4 linked regions of the Saccharomyces cerevisiae S288C genome follow. Changing the gene in region 4 together with the main gene of any one other region gives a genetic interaction. Each region holds a gene or a part of one and is shown on either strand. Other genes may lie near its edges.

The links.
Region 1: mutations in DRS2 (region 4) and TRS33 together harm fitness more than expected from each alone (negative genetic interaction), as found in Saccharomyces cerevisiae (3 studies listed by BioGRID, with this or other methods).
Region 2: of DRS2 (region 4) and KES1, a mutation in one rescues a mutant of the other (synthetic rescue), as found in Saccharomyces cerevisiae (5 studies listed by BioGRID, with this or other methods).
Region 3: mutations in DRS2 (region 4) and MSC7 together harm fitness more than expected from each alone (negative genetic interaction), as found in Saccharomyces cerevisiae (2 studies listed by BioGRID).

Annotation. Positions count from the first base shown.
Region 1 is NC_001147.6:538,159-541,001, forward strand, and holds TRS33 (Trs33p), read right to left. Parts: upstream 1,308-2,843; coding exon 501-1,307; downstream 1-500. Other genes in the region: mitochondrial HMG-box protein CIM1, read left to right, coding at 1-296; DNA-directed RNA polymerase III core subunit RPO31, read right to left, coding at 1,605-2,843.
Region 2 is NC_001148.4:277,811-281,240, reverse strand, and holds KES1 (oxysterol-binding protein KES1), read left to right. Parts: upstream 1-1,541; coding exon 1,542-2,846; downstream 2,847-3,430. Other genes in the region: POC4 (Poc4p), read right to left, coding at 315-761. UniProt on the Saccharomyces cerevisiae protein: Lipid transport protein (LTP) involved in non-vesicular transfer of lipids between membranes.
Region 3 is NC_001140.6:184,291-188,755, forward strand, and holds MSC7 (meiotic recombination directing protein), read right to left. Parts: upstream 2,520-4,465; coding exon 585-2,519; downstream 1-584. Other genes in the region: RRF1 (Rrf1p), read left to right, coding at 1-468; VMA10 (H(+)-transporting V1 sector ATPase subunit G), read right to left, coding at 2,883-3,224, 3,387-3,389; BCD1 (Bcd1p), read left to right, coding at 3,634-4,465.
Region 4 is NC_001133.9:95,072-101,694, forward strand, and holds DRS2 (aminophospholipid-translocating P4-type ATPase DRS2), read right to left. Parts: upstream 4,627-6,623; coding exon 559-4,626; downstream 1-558. Other genes in the region: DNA-binding protein SAW1, read left to right, coding at 1-401; ribosome biosynthesis protein MAK16, read right to left, coding at 5,154-6,074; mitotic regulator LTE1, read right to left, coding at 6,494-6,623. UniProt on the Saccharomyces cerevisiae protein: Catalytic component of a P4-ATPase flippase complex which catalyzes the hydrolysis of ATP coupled to the transport of phosphatidylserine and small amounts of ethanolamine from the lumen to the cytosolic leaflet of the trans-Golgi network and ensures the maintenance of asymmetric distribution of phospholipids.

The sequences.
Region 1 (2,843 bases), on a different chromosome or scaffold from region 4:
AAAATTACCTTTATGATTATATGAAAAGGTTTCAACAAATGTGCAAAGAATGCCGGTATGCTTGGAACGAAGAGGTTGACTATGACCAGAAACTAGAAATTAGAAAAAAATTACAGGTATGGAGGGCAAAATTTGAGGAAATGATGGATAACGAGATACAAATATTACAAAAAAACATGGATATCATGTCAAAGTTTGGTCTCAGAAGTGAGTCCTATCTTACAGCAGCGAATCACGATACAAATACACAACCAAATAATATTCTTCCCATGACGTACCTACTAAAAAAGAAATGACAATAGACTTTTAGGGCTTTAAGAAGAGTCCACGAAAGCACTTCACTATCATAAAGACTATATGTACCTTGATCAAAGAAATTATTGTCAAGATTTTATAGTAAGGGTATTATTTTGAAAACGGAGTCACCTGTTCTTTTATATACACACTTATATCTATCTATATGTCGATGTACATTCTTAGAACAAAAATCTGTCGGACCTTTACTGCGGCATTGTGACTTGAACATGGAAGCTAACTCCCTTGGGAAAAGCTGTTTTAGGCCTATCTGTTGGCCTGTCGATAAAAGACGCCAAGCAAATGACCTCTTCAGATGAATAACCTAAGGAAGACAACACGCCTCTAATAATTCCCACAGGTATCTCCAAAAACGGTTCTATCATTTTTAACTCCTCGTTTTTTGCATCTTCCTCCAAAGAAAATGATTGAATAGGTCGATAGTCATAATCAAGAAGGTAAAAGGTTCCTCTGTGGTTTGTTTTTAAATTATCGATCTGTTTACCAAATATTTGTTTCCAGACATCCCTACAAATGAACTTCATTATTAATAGAAGGTCCATTTCCTTGAATTTTAAATTTGGGTTGTTAGAAAATATCAATAACTCTGACAGCTTCAATCCGATTTGAAACCCAATATTCCTCAGTCTTGCTAAAACCTTTTCTTTTTCCTCTTCATCCGCCTTATACAGCTCATGTATCAAGTTATGAGAACGTATGATATCTACTGTATGATGTTCCTCTATCTTCAGTCTCTTTATCATATTGTTGATGTTACCATTTTCGGAAGTTACATTGCTATCAGAACTGATAACATCGCCTGATATTTGCCTCTCAATGCCCATAGCTAGAGGAACCATCTCGTTCAACAGCATCTGATACACAGATTGACTTACTTTTGGTAATGAATTCTCAAAAATTTGATATTGCTGTTGTGCTCTTTGTTGTTCCGTTAGTGGACCTTGTGGAGAAGATTGGGGATGTCCTACATTATTACTATGTGTAGAGGACATAATTGTTTATCTTCCAACTTTATAACCGGTGTATGTTTTCTTTTATGGCATGAGGTCTTCACTCTCAGCTTGTGAGTGCATACCAGATTCCAAAATATTTAGCATTTTTGGTCTCAAAACGTTGACGCGAGTTTTTGAAAACGATACGCTGGTTCTACTAATGTGAAGAAAGCAAATTTCTTATAAGTAAATTTTGTTTCATGGTTTTTATCATGTAGTTTTATATGTATAAATACGTTAAATGACTGTGGTAGAAAAATAATACAAATGCTATAAAAAAGTTTAAAAACGACTACTTTAGTTCGCTTTTAAAGCTGCCTCATTTGAGAGACTTTCAAATAGACATCGCTTAGGAACCAGATCCTTTTCAGATATATTAGTACCTTTAACAACTTTAAAGGAACCGGTACCGATCGACATCGTTTGACCCAAAATAATACATTCAGAAACACCTTCAACAGCGTCCTTTTTCATATAAAAGGCCGCATCGAATAAATGGTCAGTTGTCTTTTCGAAGGAGGCTAGCTGCAAAACAGAGTCCCTCATTTTACTCAAACCAAATCTTGTAATACCCAACACTTCACCCTTATATGTCATCACATCACCTAATAGTTGGATATGACGTGGATCGACACTCATACCGTGATTACTCATGGTATAGTTAATTTCTCTAATAATGCTATATCTTGCAGCTTCGATACCCAAAACGGAAAAGACTTCTAAAACATGGTTAGTTGTAGTTCTAGAACCAATGACACCATCTGTACACATCACATCTCGCAGGCCGTAACCTTCAACCAATAATTCCCTCTTGCCGTCATCGCGAATATTAATAACCGCACGAGAAATATCAGGTAAACCTTTAACAACAACATCAGGAAGCGCACGACGTAACTGTTGCATTCGGTAAAAAACATCATTCTCACTTGGTTCTTTCGCAGATGTAGATATCGATTTTGCTTTGTACCCTTCTGGGAATACGTTGATTGCAATTCGATCTTTACCAATAATATTGACATCAGAGGCTTGTATTTTCAATTTAGAAGCCCTGGTTATAGCAACCGCGATATCTTCTATGGTCAACTCCAATTGTAGTTTATCAATCGTACCTAAATCAATACGCACTTGAATGAAAGACAAGTTGTCTTTGTAAACATCTTGGACATAGAAAGCTACGTCAGATAGCAGTGTCTTTTCCACTCTACCTTTAACAACCCTAGCAGCCCTTTCATCGTTATCATTTACTAATACAGCATTTATAATAGGTGTAGAAATGACCTTGGAAGCATTGATAATTTCTTTGATACGAGGAACACCTAATGTAACATTCATGGAAGCCACACCTGCAAAATGAAAGGTCTTCAATGTCATTTGTGTACCTGGTTCACCAATGGATTGAGCACCAATAGCACCAATAGCAGTACCTGGCTCCAGTCTTGCCTTACGATATTTGAAAAGAGCAATTTCTAAAAACTTTCTCACCGATTTTTCACTGATTCTATAAAGTTGGCTTACAGATGTTTTAACATTATCAGG
Region 2 (3,430 bases), on a different chromosome or scaffold from region 4:
GCAATCCTTAGCGGTTCGGCCATCTATAATTTTGAATAAAATTTTGCTTTGCCGTTGCAATTGTGATAACTTCCTTTGGAATTTGTTGCGATATTTAATGGCGCGATGATCTTGACCCATCCTATGTGCTTCCATTTTGGAAGGATAGGGATTCATGGGTGGGTACAAATGGCAGTCTGACAAGTCAATCAAATCATTTATTTTTTCCAAAATATTTTCGAATCAAAGGTTTGATTCAGTATTTTGGAGCCGCATTATACTTAGTATTTTAATTAAATTACATTACAATCATGAATGTCTAAAGAACTCTTACTTTACTCACCGAGTTCAGTTTTCAAGAGATCGAGACACTTCTTTAAGATATATAAATGGTTTGCTACTAGCATAGAGGGATCTTCACTAGGCAGCGATGACCACGTTACATAACACGGCCTATTGAACCTTTCAGATATTATTGTGGCCATGTGTCTAGCCATATCACGAATCCGGTCATCTTTAGTATCTAATAACGGTATCCCCACAACGTTGCTTCCGCCTGATTTGAGGTTAATATGTCTATCCCTCATTAAGGGAATGGCGTAGTAATAACATGATAAGGATGAAGATGAATTCAGCGAGGCCTCTTGTTTAAATCCCACTACCAGACTAATAGGTATTTTTTTAGAACGATCGTCTGCAGGTAGAGTAGCAATAACATCCAGCGTCGGCTGTAGAAATCCAGATTCTGATTCAATAGTTCGGCTAATCGTCTTTACTAACATCACAATCACTCGCGTCTAATCTCAACGGAAGCATCTTTTGCAATTTCCCGGTCCAAATCATTTGTAAAACATAAACAATATACCAGAACCTAATCTTTTAATGTACTTTCATGTCAACAGTAAATTTTCAATCCGGGCAACGAAAACTTTCGTGCAAATAATTTCCGGAGCTCCTAAACGAACTAAAATAAGCTCTTTCCCGTATGTACCTCATCTTGTTACAGCACGAAGAATAATCGCACCGACCATTGTGTCAATCACTTCACGGGACCAGTAACTCATTCCGTTCGCGTTTTACTAGCTGCAGCATTTTTGGGCCCTCTCACGTAAGTCATTATCTTTCGGAATTGTGAGGTGCACGGATGCGGACTTCTCCTTTTGCCATTGCGTTCGTTGATTATTCTTGTTTTCCAACCTTTGCCCATTTCCTGGACTACTCGACAAGTACCACGTTTATTGGGCTCTGGTTTATTTTTCAATAGTTCTGTCTTGAGCTGTGCAAGTATTACTATTCCAAGTAAAACGATATTTCGTCGATAAGTTCTTAAGTAAACTTTTCTTTGAGTTTGACTCTATCACATTGGCTTTTTTTTTACCCAATTTCTAGCTGTTGTACTAAAGAAAAAAACAAAGAAAGAAAACTATACATTGGATAGAAACTGGCTATTTGTTCACGCTTTCAACGAAATCACCAGTCTGAACATAACAGAAATATATCAAACTTTTCTCCTAGAAACAAATCGAAAAATTTATAAGATTTAGTCTCAAGAATTTCAAGTCATGTCTCAATACGCAAGCTCATCCTCATGGACTTCTTTCTTGAAGTCAATCGCTTCATTCAATGGTGATCTTTCTTCGTTATCGGCTCCTCCATTCATTTTATCTCCAATCTCATTGACCGAGTTTTCTCAGTACTGGGCTGAACATCCAGAGCTATTCTTGGAACCCTCTTTTATCAATGACGATAATTACAAAGAACACTGTTTAATTGACCCTGAAGTCGAGTCACCCGAATTGGCCCGTATGCTGGCCGTTACTAAATGGTTCATTTCCACTTTAAAATCTCAATACTGTTCTCGTAATGAATCCTTAGGTTCTGAGAAAAAACCTTTGAACCCATTTCTAGGTGAGTTGTTCGTTGGTAAATGGGAAAATAAAGAGCATCCTGAATTTGGAGAAACGGTTTTGTTAAGTGAGCAAGTTTCTCACCATCCACCCGTCACTGCTTTTTCCATCTTCAATGATAAGAACAAGGTTAAGCTGCAAGGCTACAACCAAATTAAAGCCAGTTTCACTAAATCCTTAATGCTGACTGTTAAACAATTTGGTCACACTATGTTGGATATTAAGGATGAGAGTTATTTGGTTACCCCACCTCCATTGCATATTGAAGGTATTCTTGTCGCTTCTCCCTTTGTTGAATTGGAAGGAAAATCATATATCCAATCTTCGACAGGTCTACTTTGTGTTATTGAATTTTCAGGTAGAGGCTACTTTTCTGGTAAAAAGAATTCATTCAAGGCAAGAATTTACAAAGACTCTAAAGATAGCAAGGACAAGGAAAAGGCATTATACACAATATCAGGCCAATGGTCTGGCTCTTCTAAAATAATCAAGGCAAATAAGAAAGAAGAATCACGATTATTTTACGATGCTGCTAGAATCCCTGCTGAACATCTGAATGTCAAGCCTTTGGAGGAGCAACACCCACTGGAAAGTAGAAAAGCCTGGTACGACGTGGCTGGTGCCATCAAATTAGGCGATTTTAACTTAATTGCCAAAACGAAAACTGAATTGGAAGAAACGCAAAGAGAATTGAGAAAAGAGGAAGAAGCTAAAGGCATTAGCTGGCAAAGAAGATGGTTCAAAGATTTTGACTACTCTGTCACGCCCGAAGAAGGCGCCCTTGTACCTGAAAAGGATGACACTTTCTTAAAACTCGCCTCTGCTCTAAATTTATCAACGAAGAATGCTCCAAGTGGTACTTTGGTGGGTGACAAAGAAGACAGGAAGGAGGATCTTTCATCCATTCATTGGAGATTCCAAAGAGAGTTGTGGGACGAAGAAAAGGAAATTGTTTTGTAAGGAGAACGATAAAGTAACAACTTGTTACCGTTGCACTAATATATTATCTATCTTTTCTTCTTTTTCCTTCCTTTTTCTCTTCATGTGACAGGAAAGGATATGAAATCATTAGAGGAACTAAGAAATCATTTTTACCATCCCCTAAATCTTATATTGTTTTGTTCTCTTTTCACTATAATGACTAGAATTTATTCTTTCGAACCACAAGAATATGCTATATTGCTGTTAAAGATGAAGCAGAAAAAACCTTTATCTATTTCTACTTCTTCCTTTAATTATTGATAGACAGATCGCTCATTTTTTTCTCATGATGTCATATCCTTTTTAATCATCATACGAAGGTTAAAATTTGAAGTTTACCAAGTTTTCATGCAAGTTTTGTTATTATTTACAACCTATTACTATATTTTATCTTCTCTGTTGATATCCTCACTTTTGTCTTTTTTATAACTCTCTAATTTTCTTATGTCAATTTTGTAGAACCACATAATCGATGGAGTATATGCACTTATACAACACTTTCTATACAAAGTTTATGGTATATCCCAAAATCTGTACGCTTATCGAACCATAGGCCTGTTTTA
Region 3 (4,465 bases), on a different chromosome or scaffold from region 4:
GGAAATTTTAATCCTAAGGTATTCAATAGTTTAGTGTTCAAAAATAACAGAAAGTTTACAGATATTGCTACCACATCCTTGAAAGGTAAAAATGCACTTTTAATAACAGTTTTCGACCCCAAAGATGTGAAAACTGTGATCAGTGGGGTGCTTGCTGCGAACCTGAATTTAACTCCTGAAAGGGTCCCAAATAACGATTTGCAATTGAAAGTTTCGTTACCACCACCAACTACAGAATCCCGGTTAAAAGTAGCTAAAGACTTAAAGAGAGTATTTGAAGAATATAAGCAGTCATCGCTAAAAGACTCATTAGGAACTATCAGAGGCAGTATTCTAAAGGAATTCAAAAGTTTCAAAAAGGATGATGCCGTTCGAAAAGCTGAGAGGGATTTGGAAAAACTGCATAAGGATTACGTGAACAAGCTTCATGACCAATTCCAGAAAGTTGAAAAAAGCATTGTAAAATGAGGAATTTCGTAACGTGTATAGAATCAAAAAATCATAAATCTTGTACATAAAAAGTTCATTTTATATAATAATAAATACCAAATTATTGATAAGTTTGTTGCTTCCTCTAAAGTAAACTAGCTGGCTTCTTTAGCTAAAGAGAACAGTGACTTTATTCTTTGCCATGTGGAATTTGTATAAGCTCCTACGATGAAACTCTTTACAAAATTCCAAGCCTTAGCATTGTTACGAATAGGGTAGTCTAATGGTTTTGGAATTTGAGTGGAGACAAAAGGCAAAGTATCAAAACAGACACTTTTGGCATTGCACAAACCCAAAAGACCTTCTTCACCACCAAATTTACCGTAACCTGAACCATTGATACCACCAAATGGTAATTGACAAACATAGAATGTAGCAAAATCATTAATGGCTACATTACCAGTTTGTAGGCTATTTGCGACGTAATTGCATTCCTTGATATCCGCACCAAACACAGAACCACCTAGACCAAATGGCGCAGAGTTGGCTAGTTGTACACAATGGTCAGTATTCTTAGCTTTCATCATGACTAAAATTGGGCCAAACACTTCGTTTTGTGCTATTTTCATTTCTGGAGTGACATCCACCAAAAGAGTTGGTTGGAAATAATGACCTTGTGGATACTTTGGATGTTTGAAGCGGGAACCACCTTGAAGTAAACGAGCTCCCTTTGCAACAGCATCTTTAACCAAAGCTTCTAGTTCATCGAATCTGTTGTCAGATATCATTGCCCCCATATCAACATTTTCTAAATGATCAATATCAGACCCTTGGCGTAGTGGATTTGCAGTCATACGGTCATTCAAAATCTTGACTAAATCATCATAATTTTCCTTACTGACAATAACCCTCTCAATACCAATACAATTTTGACCGGATGATTGGAAAGTACCCCTCATGATGATAGAAGATAAAGCATCTAAATTCTTAGCTGAGTCTAGGACAATAAACGCATCCTTACCACCAAGCTCCACAACTACGGGTGTCAATGATTTGGCAGCGCATTTTAGAATATAGTGCGCTACGGGCTGACTGCCAATAAAAGTGATATGTTTGAAACCAGGATGAGAGGTGAAATAATTTGCGGAATCATCATTTTCAGTTGGAGGTAAACAATAGCACAACTGAACCAAATCTGGATCTTCATCACAAGCTTCCAAACATTTGCGGATCAGCTCGACGAAAAATTCCGAAGACCAGACAACTTGTTCTGAACATTTTACTACAATGGCATTCCCTGTGAACAATGCTGCAATAATTGGACCCAATAAGTTATGGAATGGATAGTTCCAGGAAACGATAGAACTGATCACACCCAGTGGTTCATAACGGATTTCTGCACCTTTATACCACTTCATGAAAAAATTAGTGGGGCCCGGACGTCTCGAAGGTTGCAACGCTCTTTGGCCGTGCTTTATAGTCCATTGAATTTTTTCTAAAGTAACCAAGATTTCACCCATCGATGCGTCTAACATTGTCTTTCCTGAATCCCTGCACGCTACTCTCGCAATAAGATCTTGATTATTTAGAATATAATCATGCAAAGAAGCCAAAACTCTCAATCTTCTTGAGAAATCAGAATTGCCCCAAGTAGATTGAGCTTTGCCTGCCTTAGAAACCATTTCATCTATGTCAGCTTCCGTTTTCGATGGAAAAGAACCTAGATATTGACCTGTGGCGGGACAATGACATTGAATAAAGTTTGGTTCTTCAGGATTCCATATGTTAGTGGAAACAGACCTCTTGCCCTTCCAATTATTTTGAGCGGCCTCTGGTGCAGGAAGGGAGAATTTGACTGGCTTATAGGACGAGGAACACTTTGCTGGGGTGGAGATTATCTTGACCAAAACATACAGAGTGAAAATTGAGGCAACTAGCGTTGTAATGCCTATCAGTTTTTGGTTATCTTGAATAATTTGGGGTTGAGAACGCATTATTGCGTTTTGCTTCTCCAACCATAAGTTAAAGTAAGCTTGAACTGTGGAGTTCAAATGGTTAATCATGTCTGAATTCAGATAGACCTTGGACATGATGAATAAACGTTCGATAAAACAGAGGAGAAACTGAACGTGAACTGTGAAAAGAATTCTACTATTCTGCAAATACTATTATAATTATATAGTAATCCCCATCGGCGTTTAGTATTTTTCGTTAATAAAATAAAAATAGAGAGACCATACTTTCTCCTTTACAACCGATATACTAAATAACACATTTTTGATTATACTACTACTCGTTTAGCAGATAGAGAAAAAAAAAAAAAAAAAAAAAAGGCTGAATGGATAAAGCGAGAGTCGTAAAGACCGAATGCAATGTCAGTTTATACATTTTTATTCTATTGGTATTATATTATAAAAAGATATATGATTAGAAAACTAGAATGTAATGCAATATTACAAGGCATTGATATGGACTTCAGCAGAAGGCTTGATGACAGTCTCGATCAAAATTTTGACAACGTCATCCTTTTTCTTCTCTGCAATTTTCTTAATCTCAGCTAATTCACCTTGCACACCAGCCTCTGCTTTCTTTTCCAATTCACCAACACCACCGGCATTCTTTTGTTCAAACTCCTTCAATTCCTTGTCTTTTTGAATTTTGTATGAGTCGATTTCCTTGGCTGCATCAGTCTTGGCTTGCTTCAACTTATCTTGTCTGTACTTTCTAGCCTTTGATACTATTTCGTGGGCTTCCTTTTCAGCTTGTAGTAGGGTGGCAATTCCGTTTTTTTGGGACTAAAGAGAATATTACATAGTTCTGAGCAACAATGAAAAAACCAATACCTTTGTCACGAGGTACCAGTCCAACAAGAGAGCACAGTTTTAAAAAAGTTTTTCATGTTAGTAAGAACGCTTGTTAGAGACAGAAGTGTTGACACGTAATGTAATGGCACATACCATTCTGCTTTGTATACCTTGCACACTTTGGAGATTGCAGGAAAAAAAAAAATGTATTGTTTAAGGTGTGATTGCTTTATCTATCACGCTCCCTTTTAGAGATGAAATTTTTGATACCCAAGGCAGGGTAACAAATTGAAAAAAAAAAAAATTCGCGGTAATAATAGTGGATGTCAAAGTTCATATTCGATGAGATGAGCTGGAATAGGAGTCCAGTTAATAGGGAAGGGTGTGGCAATTTGCAAGTATGGCGGTGTTGTGTGGTGTATGCGGAATAAAAGAGTTCAAATACAAGTGTCCAAGATGTTTGGTGCAAACTTGCTCTTTGGAGTGTTCCAAGAAGCACAAGACAAGGGACAATTGCTCAGGTCAAACACATGATCCTAAGGAGTATATATCGAGTGAGGCGTTGAAACAGGCGGACGACGACAAGCACGAACGAAATGCTTATGTCCAGAGGGACTACAACTATCTGACGCAGTTGAAGCGAATGGTGCATGTACAAAAGATGGATGCTAGAATGAAGAACAAGCGGGTTCTGGGGCCTGTGGGCGGCCACAACTCTAATTTCAAGAAGAGAAGATACGATATAGATGAGGATGATCGTGATAGCACGGAGTGTCAGAGGATAATTAGGAGGGGGGTGAACTGTTTGATGCTACCCAAGGGGATGCAGCGATCATCGCAAAACAGGAGCAAGTGGGACAAAACGATGGACCTATTTGTATGGAGCGTGGAGTGGATTCTATGTCCTATGCAGGAAAAGGGTGAGAAAAAGGAGCTTTTCAAACATGTCAGCCACCGTATCAAAGAGACAGACTTTTTGGTGCAAGGGATGGGCAAGAACGTTTTCCAAAAATGCTGTGAATTCTATCGCTTGGCTGGAACAAGCTCTTGCATAGAGGGCGAAGACGGTTCGGAGACCAAAGAGGAAAGAACACAGATCCTACAGAAGAGTGGGCTCAAATTCTACACGAAAACGTTCCCTTACAACACCACGCATATAATGGATTCAAAAAAACTGGTGGAGTTGGCTATACATGAGAAATGCATCGGAGAATTGTTGAAGAACACCACAG
Region 4 (6,623 bases):
CTCACATCCAGTCTGTGACAAGGCTGGCTAAATTCAAATACAAGTTGCACTACAAACATAAGTGGGAGCTCGACATATTCATCAACAGCATTAAGAAGATCGCCAATTTAAGGCACTATTTGATGTTTCAAACATTAACATTAAACGGTTTCTCATTAAATGCAGGACCCAAAACGTTATTAGCTAGGAAAATAGAAAAACAGCCCCAGGTACCTAATTTGTTAATAGAAAATGGGGACGCTGATGCCCTGGATACACCGGTGGAAGAGGATATAAAACCTGTAATAGAATTTATGTACAAGCCTGTTATTAATTTAGGTGAAATTATTGATGTACATGTGTTGCATAGGCCTAGAAGACATAAGGTACGTACCCAGTCGAAGCAACCCCAGGAGGAATGAAAAACCGATAACAAAGTGATGGCTTAATATTATAACTTCTATATAACGGATATATTTTATGGTAAATGTACATATTTCAGTAATGGTAATAATGACTTTTCTTTTTATCTTATTTTTATTTTTGTATTTTTTGTCTTCTGCTCTTTGTTTCTGTGCCTCATATATCAAATGAAATATCATCTCTCGAAGAACTGAATCTATTTGAATTTTGATTACCATCAGCAAATGGATTTTCAATGAACGGTTCTGCACTTTCAAAGTCGTTACTTCCCAGTCCATTATTGTCATTAAAGGGGTTCGCCGAAGCATCTTGTAATTCACCGTACTTACCTCTCTTTTGAGTAGTATCATACATTCTGACAATTTTTTCTTGCCCACCCTCTTCAGCCTGTGAAAAGGCAAATCCTCTTTGTTTTTTCATTCTTTGCACTTGCCTCACCTTCCTGATGGCATTTTGAAATTGCTGAACGTGCGGCCTAGAGTCGCTGATATTGTATTTCTGCATTTCTTGAATAACATGATACGTTTCTGGTTCATACATTCTTTTATAGTACTTCCATAGAAAATCTCTTACCAGTGCAAAAATTGGTAAAACGATCAAAGTTAACCAAAATACACCGGATCCATACGTGTGTTTAACCACACCATAATACTCTCTTGAGATGTTAGCATGAGGAAATATAGAAGCATAAATTGGGAAGAATATTAACCAAAATAAGAGGGAACCAGGAATGGCAATTAAGGTGAATTTCGTCCATTGATTAGTTACCAAAGCAGCCTTTCCCAAAACAATAATGACACTTGTAGTGTAGACAGTTACACCCCAAGACCAATGATCAGCTAGTTCGCCGTGCATATTTAAGGCAAACCCATATCTGTAAATCAATATGGTGCCAATAAATACTATTGCAGAATGGAAAAAGCCATTAATAATCCATCCCCAGAAGATGTAAACAGAGAAAAATTGACCCTTCTGTCCTAATTTGTACAATTGTGGGTACCGCTCAAGTAATCTACTACTAACAAATTGATCAAATACACCAATGACAAAAGGGGGCCAAACAGTGAAGAATAAGTTGTAGAAACTCATTGTCCATGATTCCATAATGGATTGACCTGAAAAGGCATTGGCAAAAACGTACCAAAACTGCGTCATGTATAATGCTGTATTCTTGTAAAAAGAGTACAAAATTGCGACAGAAATTCTTTGATAAGACCAGGAGCCATGGACAAGTAATAGTTTTTTTAAAAATTTAAATTGGCCAACAGCTATATCAGCTGAACGAGCCGCTTGCATACCTTCCATACCACTAATACCGACACCAACATGAGCTGCCTGTATCATACTAACATCGTTGGCACCATCGCCAATGGCTAGCAGTAGTGAAGACGACTTTCTTTTTACCATTTTAACAACCAAGGCTTTCTGTAGTGGAGATACACGGCAACATATAACCGCTTTACAAAGCTTCGCCACAGTTAGCAAATAATCTTCTAATTCTGGTTCCAAGGCAAAGCCTAATGACTTCCCATCAATGACGAGCGCTAAGGTATTCATATCATGTGTTGACAATTGATGCTCGTTTAGAGCGTTAATCTTCTCTAACAAATTTCTCTCAGTATCATCTCTGGTTTCCTCGTTGATGATCAACAAATTCATGTCTTCACTCAATAAACGGCAACTCATACCAATGTTAATAGCAGTTTCCTGTCTGTCACCAGTTAAAACCCAAATTTTAATACCCGCTTCTTGTAATGTGTGGATAGTTTCTGGAACACCGTCCTGTAACTTATCTTCAATAGCAGTTGCACCAATTAATATTAGATTTTTCTCGATTAGATTTGCGGCTTCGTCTAGCTTCTCGGCTCTGTTATCTAATGTTGTGGCAGCCTCATTATAAATGCTATTCCATTCTTCATATTCTCCTTCAGAGATATCTCTCATCGCCAAACACAACGTCCGCAAACCCTCAGATGCATAATCTTCTAAATGTCTCATTGTAGCTTCTACATATTGATTAGCTTCATCATCCAATCTTTCCAGAATGACAGTATCAGCACCTTTACAGAATAACTTTATCGAACCATCCGGAAATCTAAATATAGCGCTCATTCTCTTCCTGGTGGAATTAAATTCACAAATGTTAAGTAGTTGATACTCTTTTTCCTCGCCAGTTTCCTCCAATAAAACAGTTACAGAGTTTGGTTTACGGATGATAAACTTATACCCTAAATCTGCACCACCTTGAACGAGGGCACCTTCATCTGGAGAGGCTGCTTGATATTTAATAGATCCATCGCTTTGAAATTCTGGAATGACAGTATGACAGGTAGCCAGTAATGTTAAGAAGTCATTGATAATAGGTGAATCCTCATCAGAGGGATCATTTAACTTTTTCTTCAAATCGTCAAATTTTCTATAACCAACTTCAATCCCATCTTCAACAGTGGCCGTTTTATCTTCAGGTATTTTATCAATATAGCAATGGCCTGCAATAGAGCAGGATTTAAATTCCATAATATTTCTTGTTAAAGTTCCTGTCTTGTCACTGAATATATATTCTATTTGACCAAGTTCTTCAACCAAAGAGGATGTACGAACCACAGTTGGGGTATCAGTTTTTTCGTAGTACAAATCTAGATCTGAACCTATCATAAAAGCCTGATAATATTTGATTAATTCAACGGTGACAAATAGAGAAATAGGAACTAGATTCGAAAATAGAATCCAAAATGTTAAAAAGTCTTTGAAGAATAAGCCAGCCTTGTTGGTACCCTCCAGGTAAAGGTACGATAAATGTTTGGCATCTGCAGTAGACATAATAACATTACCAATTGAAGAAATTAAAATTAGCACGATTAAAACTGTGAACAATGCAATAATCTGTCTGTTGATAATTTTCTCAACCGCGGTTCTTTTAATTGGGGTTGCAGTAGCATTACGCAATAACTTAGTTTCATGACCAGTGAAGATAACTAAACCAAATATCCATGCAGTATTTCTTAAAGTTGCACCTCTTAAAATCATTTGGTCAGGAGATAACGGTATTTGACGATCATTTAAAGTCATTGTACCTTCATAAGTATACAAGCTAGAGTTCGGCTGTTCGGAAACAACTTTTCCGTTCATGTTCTTCAAAGTTTTAACGTCTATAAATTTGGCAGTTTCTACTCTCGACTGTTTGATTTTCAAATTTGTTTCACCATCCAAGTTGGCAGTTTCAATGTAGCAAAGACCCTCCGGTTCCGAAGATGACAAAATTATGGTATCAGCAGGAATAGGTTCCTCTGATTTTACTCTAATTATGTCACCTACACGAATATCAATCCATCGTTTCTCAACAAAGTCATCATGTGCTTCTGAAAATATTTCTGCTGTCGAATTATTTAATTCTTTATCAGAATTAGCTCTCTTGATATCTTCGATACATTCCTTCATGGCAGAAACAATCAAAACCACTAATAAAGTACCAATTGTGGTGTATCTATTAGTTGGCGAGACGTGAGGCACCTGTTGAATGGCAGATGTACATAAAAAAAACAGATTAGCGTATTTGGAAAATTCTTGGAACAAAAATTTAGGCAGAAAGGTCGCAAAATTATACTTGGTGGTAGATATATGGTTGTCACTATAACCGAAGGAGGAATTAGCGAGAGAATCGTTGATGTGGATGACTCTTGGTTCACCATTGCCCTCTGCGTCGCCAACGTTCTTTCTTAAAATGTACCGGTTGAAAAGAATTTTAATGTTGAACTTATTCCTCGAGTCTAGATAATTATCGTCTAATTCGTTATTAGTCACCGCATTGTAATGATTCATTTCGAAACTTTCGGGCCCTTTCTTCCGTTTGAACGTAAAGGCATTTTTGAGACCATTACCAAACCTAGCAAATAAACCGGGAGGCTTGACTGCTCGTAGGGATTGTGGTTGATATGCATCTGAGTCGAATCTATTGGCATTCCAAGACGTTTGGTCGTCATGGTTATTGCTCATAAATAGATTTTCATGGACATCATTTTCAATGTTATCATCATCAGCGTCTAAGTCGATAGTCTCTTCGGGAAGTACATGACTTGGTGGTATATAATTCGCGTTCGCATGTGAGTTGGTGACCTTTGAACGGGATCCAGAATGAGAAGTCGTGTCGTCTAAGAAGTCAATATCGAAAAGCGTGTCGTCCTCCCCAGGTTTCCTCTTTGGGGGGGTTTCTCTGTCGTCATTCATGGTAAAATCAGGGAATGAAAGAACCTACCAGTAAATTATTGCTTGGCGCTAACCTCTATTTGGCGTTACTGGCTTCTTGTTGCACTATTCCCCTTAGAATTGCCAACAATTGTTGATTATATGTTTCTTCAACTTAGTGGCATTAAACAGATTTGGGTTTTCTGGCAAAAAAAGCCAATCACGTGATCAGGAAGATTTCAGTGATTTACGCTTCAAATAACCTTTACCTCAATAATCCCGTAATAGTAAGCTTCTAATAGTAAGCTTCTAATTTGCAATGTTATTAGCCCAACAGCTACTAAAGGTATTATTTTTTTTTTTTTTGATAAGAAATTTAAGTGTTACAGAATGGGCCATCTTACAAAAATAATAGTCTTTATGTATTTTTATATATGTAAAAGAATTGAAATATTTTATAACTGGTTGTTATTATGGTACAGTGCGCTGCCCAATCCACGTGGAAAAATCCTGTTCATTCAATAATAGAAACTGAAATCATGTAATGTTGCGTAGTATAGTGCGTGAGCTTATTGTGCCACTTCTTGCTCAGCATTTTGAACTTCGTGTTCCTCCTCGTATTCGATTTCGACTTTAGGACGTTTAGTTTTGGCACTAGTTCCCTTCTTACGTCTCTTGGCTGAATTCTTATTTTCTTCATCACTATCGCTGTCGCTCTCGCTTTCACTGTCGCTTTCGCTTTCACTGGCGCTGGAAGCTTCTCTGTCAGAGTCAGCTAACCACTTTTCTAAGTCATCCACGTCAACGTATTCACCTTCGCCATCATCTGCAACGTATTCAACTTCCCCATCATCACTTTCCTCTTCTTCATCCCAGTCTTCTTCCTCGTCCTGAGAATTCTCCTCTTCCATTTGACCCATTATCTTCTTCCAGACCTTTTCGTCAACATTTAATGGTTTATCACCGTAAGCACCACTCTTTAATCTGTCCATCAATTCTTTTTCGATGGCTTTTTCAATCTTGGCAGCTACCAATGCCTTTCTCTCCCTGTTTTGTTCTCTTCTTTTGACCTTTGGTGCTACACCAACGTAGTGTCTCTCCTCCTCCCTTAATGCTAAACGTCTCTCTGTTATCATGACCTGCGTCAATTTTGTAAATCTCTGTTTACACTTATGACGGAAAAACTTGCTCCAATGTAGTAGGTGTTCGTCGATCTGTTGTAAAGCCTTCGTGTAATTTTTGGATAGTTTGATTCTTTCCCATAACTTGGCAGGAGTGTGCGCTCTTTCAGGCGTCTTCATATACAAGTACAGTTTCCCATTGTCACACTTCACTGTTGCATACTTGGAGTTGGCAAGTGGGCATGATTGCCTTGTACACAACCCAGTGACGTTATACTCATTTCTGCAAAAATTTTGACCATTAGGTGCCTTAATTCTATGAGAGCAGAAACTTTGATTAATCACTTGCCAAACAATTTCGTCGGACATATCCTCGTTGTATTCTAACCGTTGTAGTTATGTACTGAAGAGAACACTGTCAAAAGAAAGAACTAAGCAATGCAATATCTGCCTCTATACCAATCACTTTTTCATTTTTTTTCAAAAGCTCATCGGAAAATTTTTCAAAAAAAAAAAAAAAAAAAAAAAAGGTTTATTACCCTACTGCATTTTGATAATCTGAACATAATGAGCTAATGAAAGCAATTCTCATTTAAAAACAAGTATTCTCTCTTATTGAAGTATGCATTATCTATCATTATAAATTCTTTTATTCTGTTCGAGTCCATGTTTTTAAAAAAAAAAAAACATGTATGTATGCTCCATCTATATATGCTCCATCTGTATATTTTATATGCAAAGTTTTTTACAAGAGGAATTTGGGAACTGGAGGAAAGTGGCACAATACCTCATGTGGATAGTTCATTAATCTCTTCTTGTGTTAATGTGCTAATATAAACACACTTACTCAGCAATTCGTGGTTAACTTTGAAAGTGTAAAACTTGGACCATTGAACCCTTTGAATGAAATTCTTGACT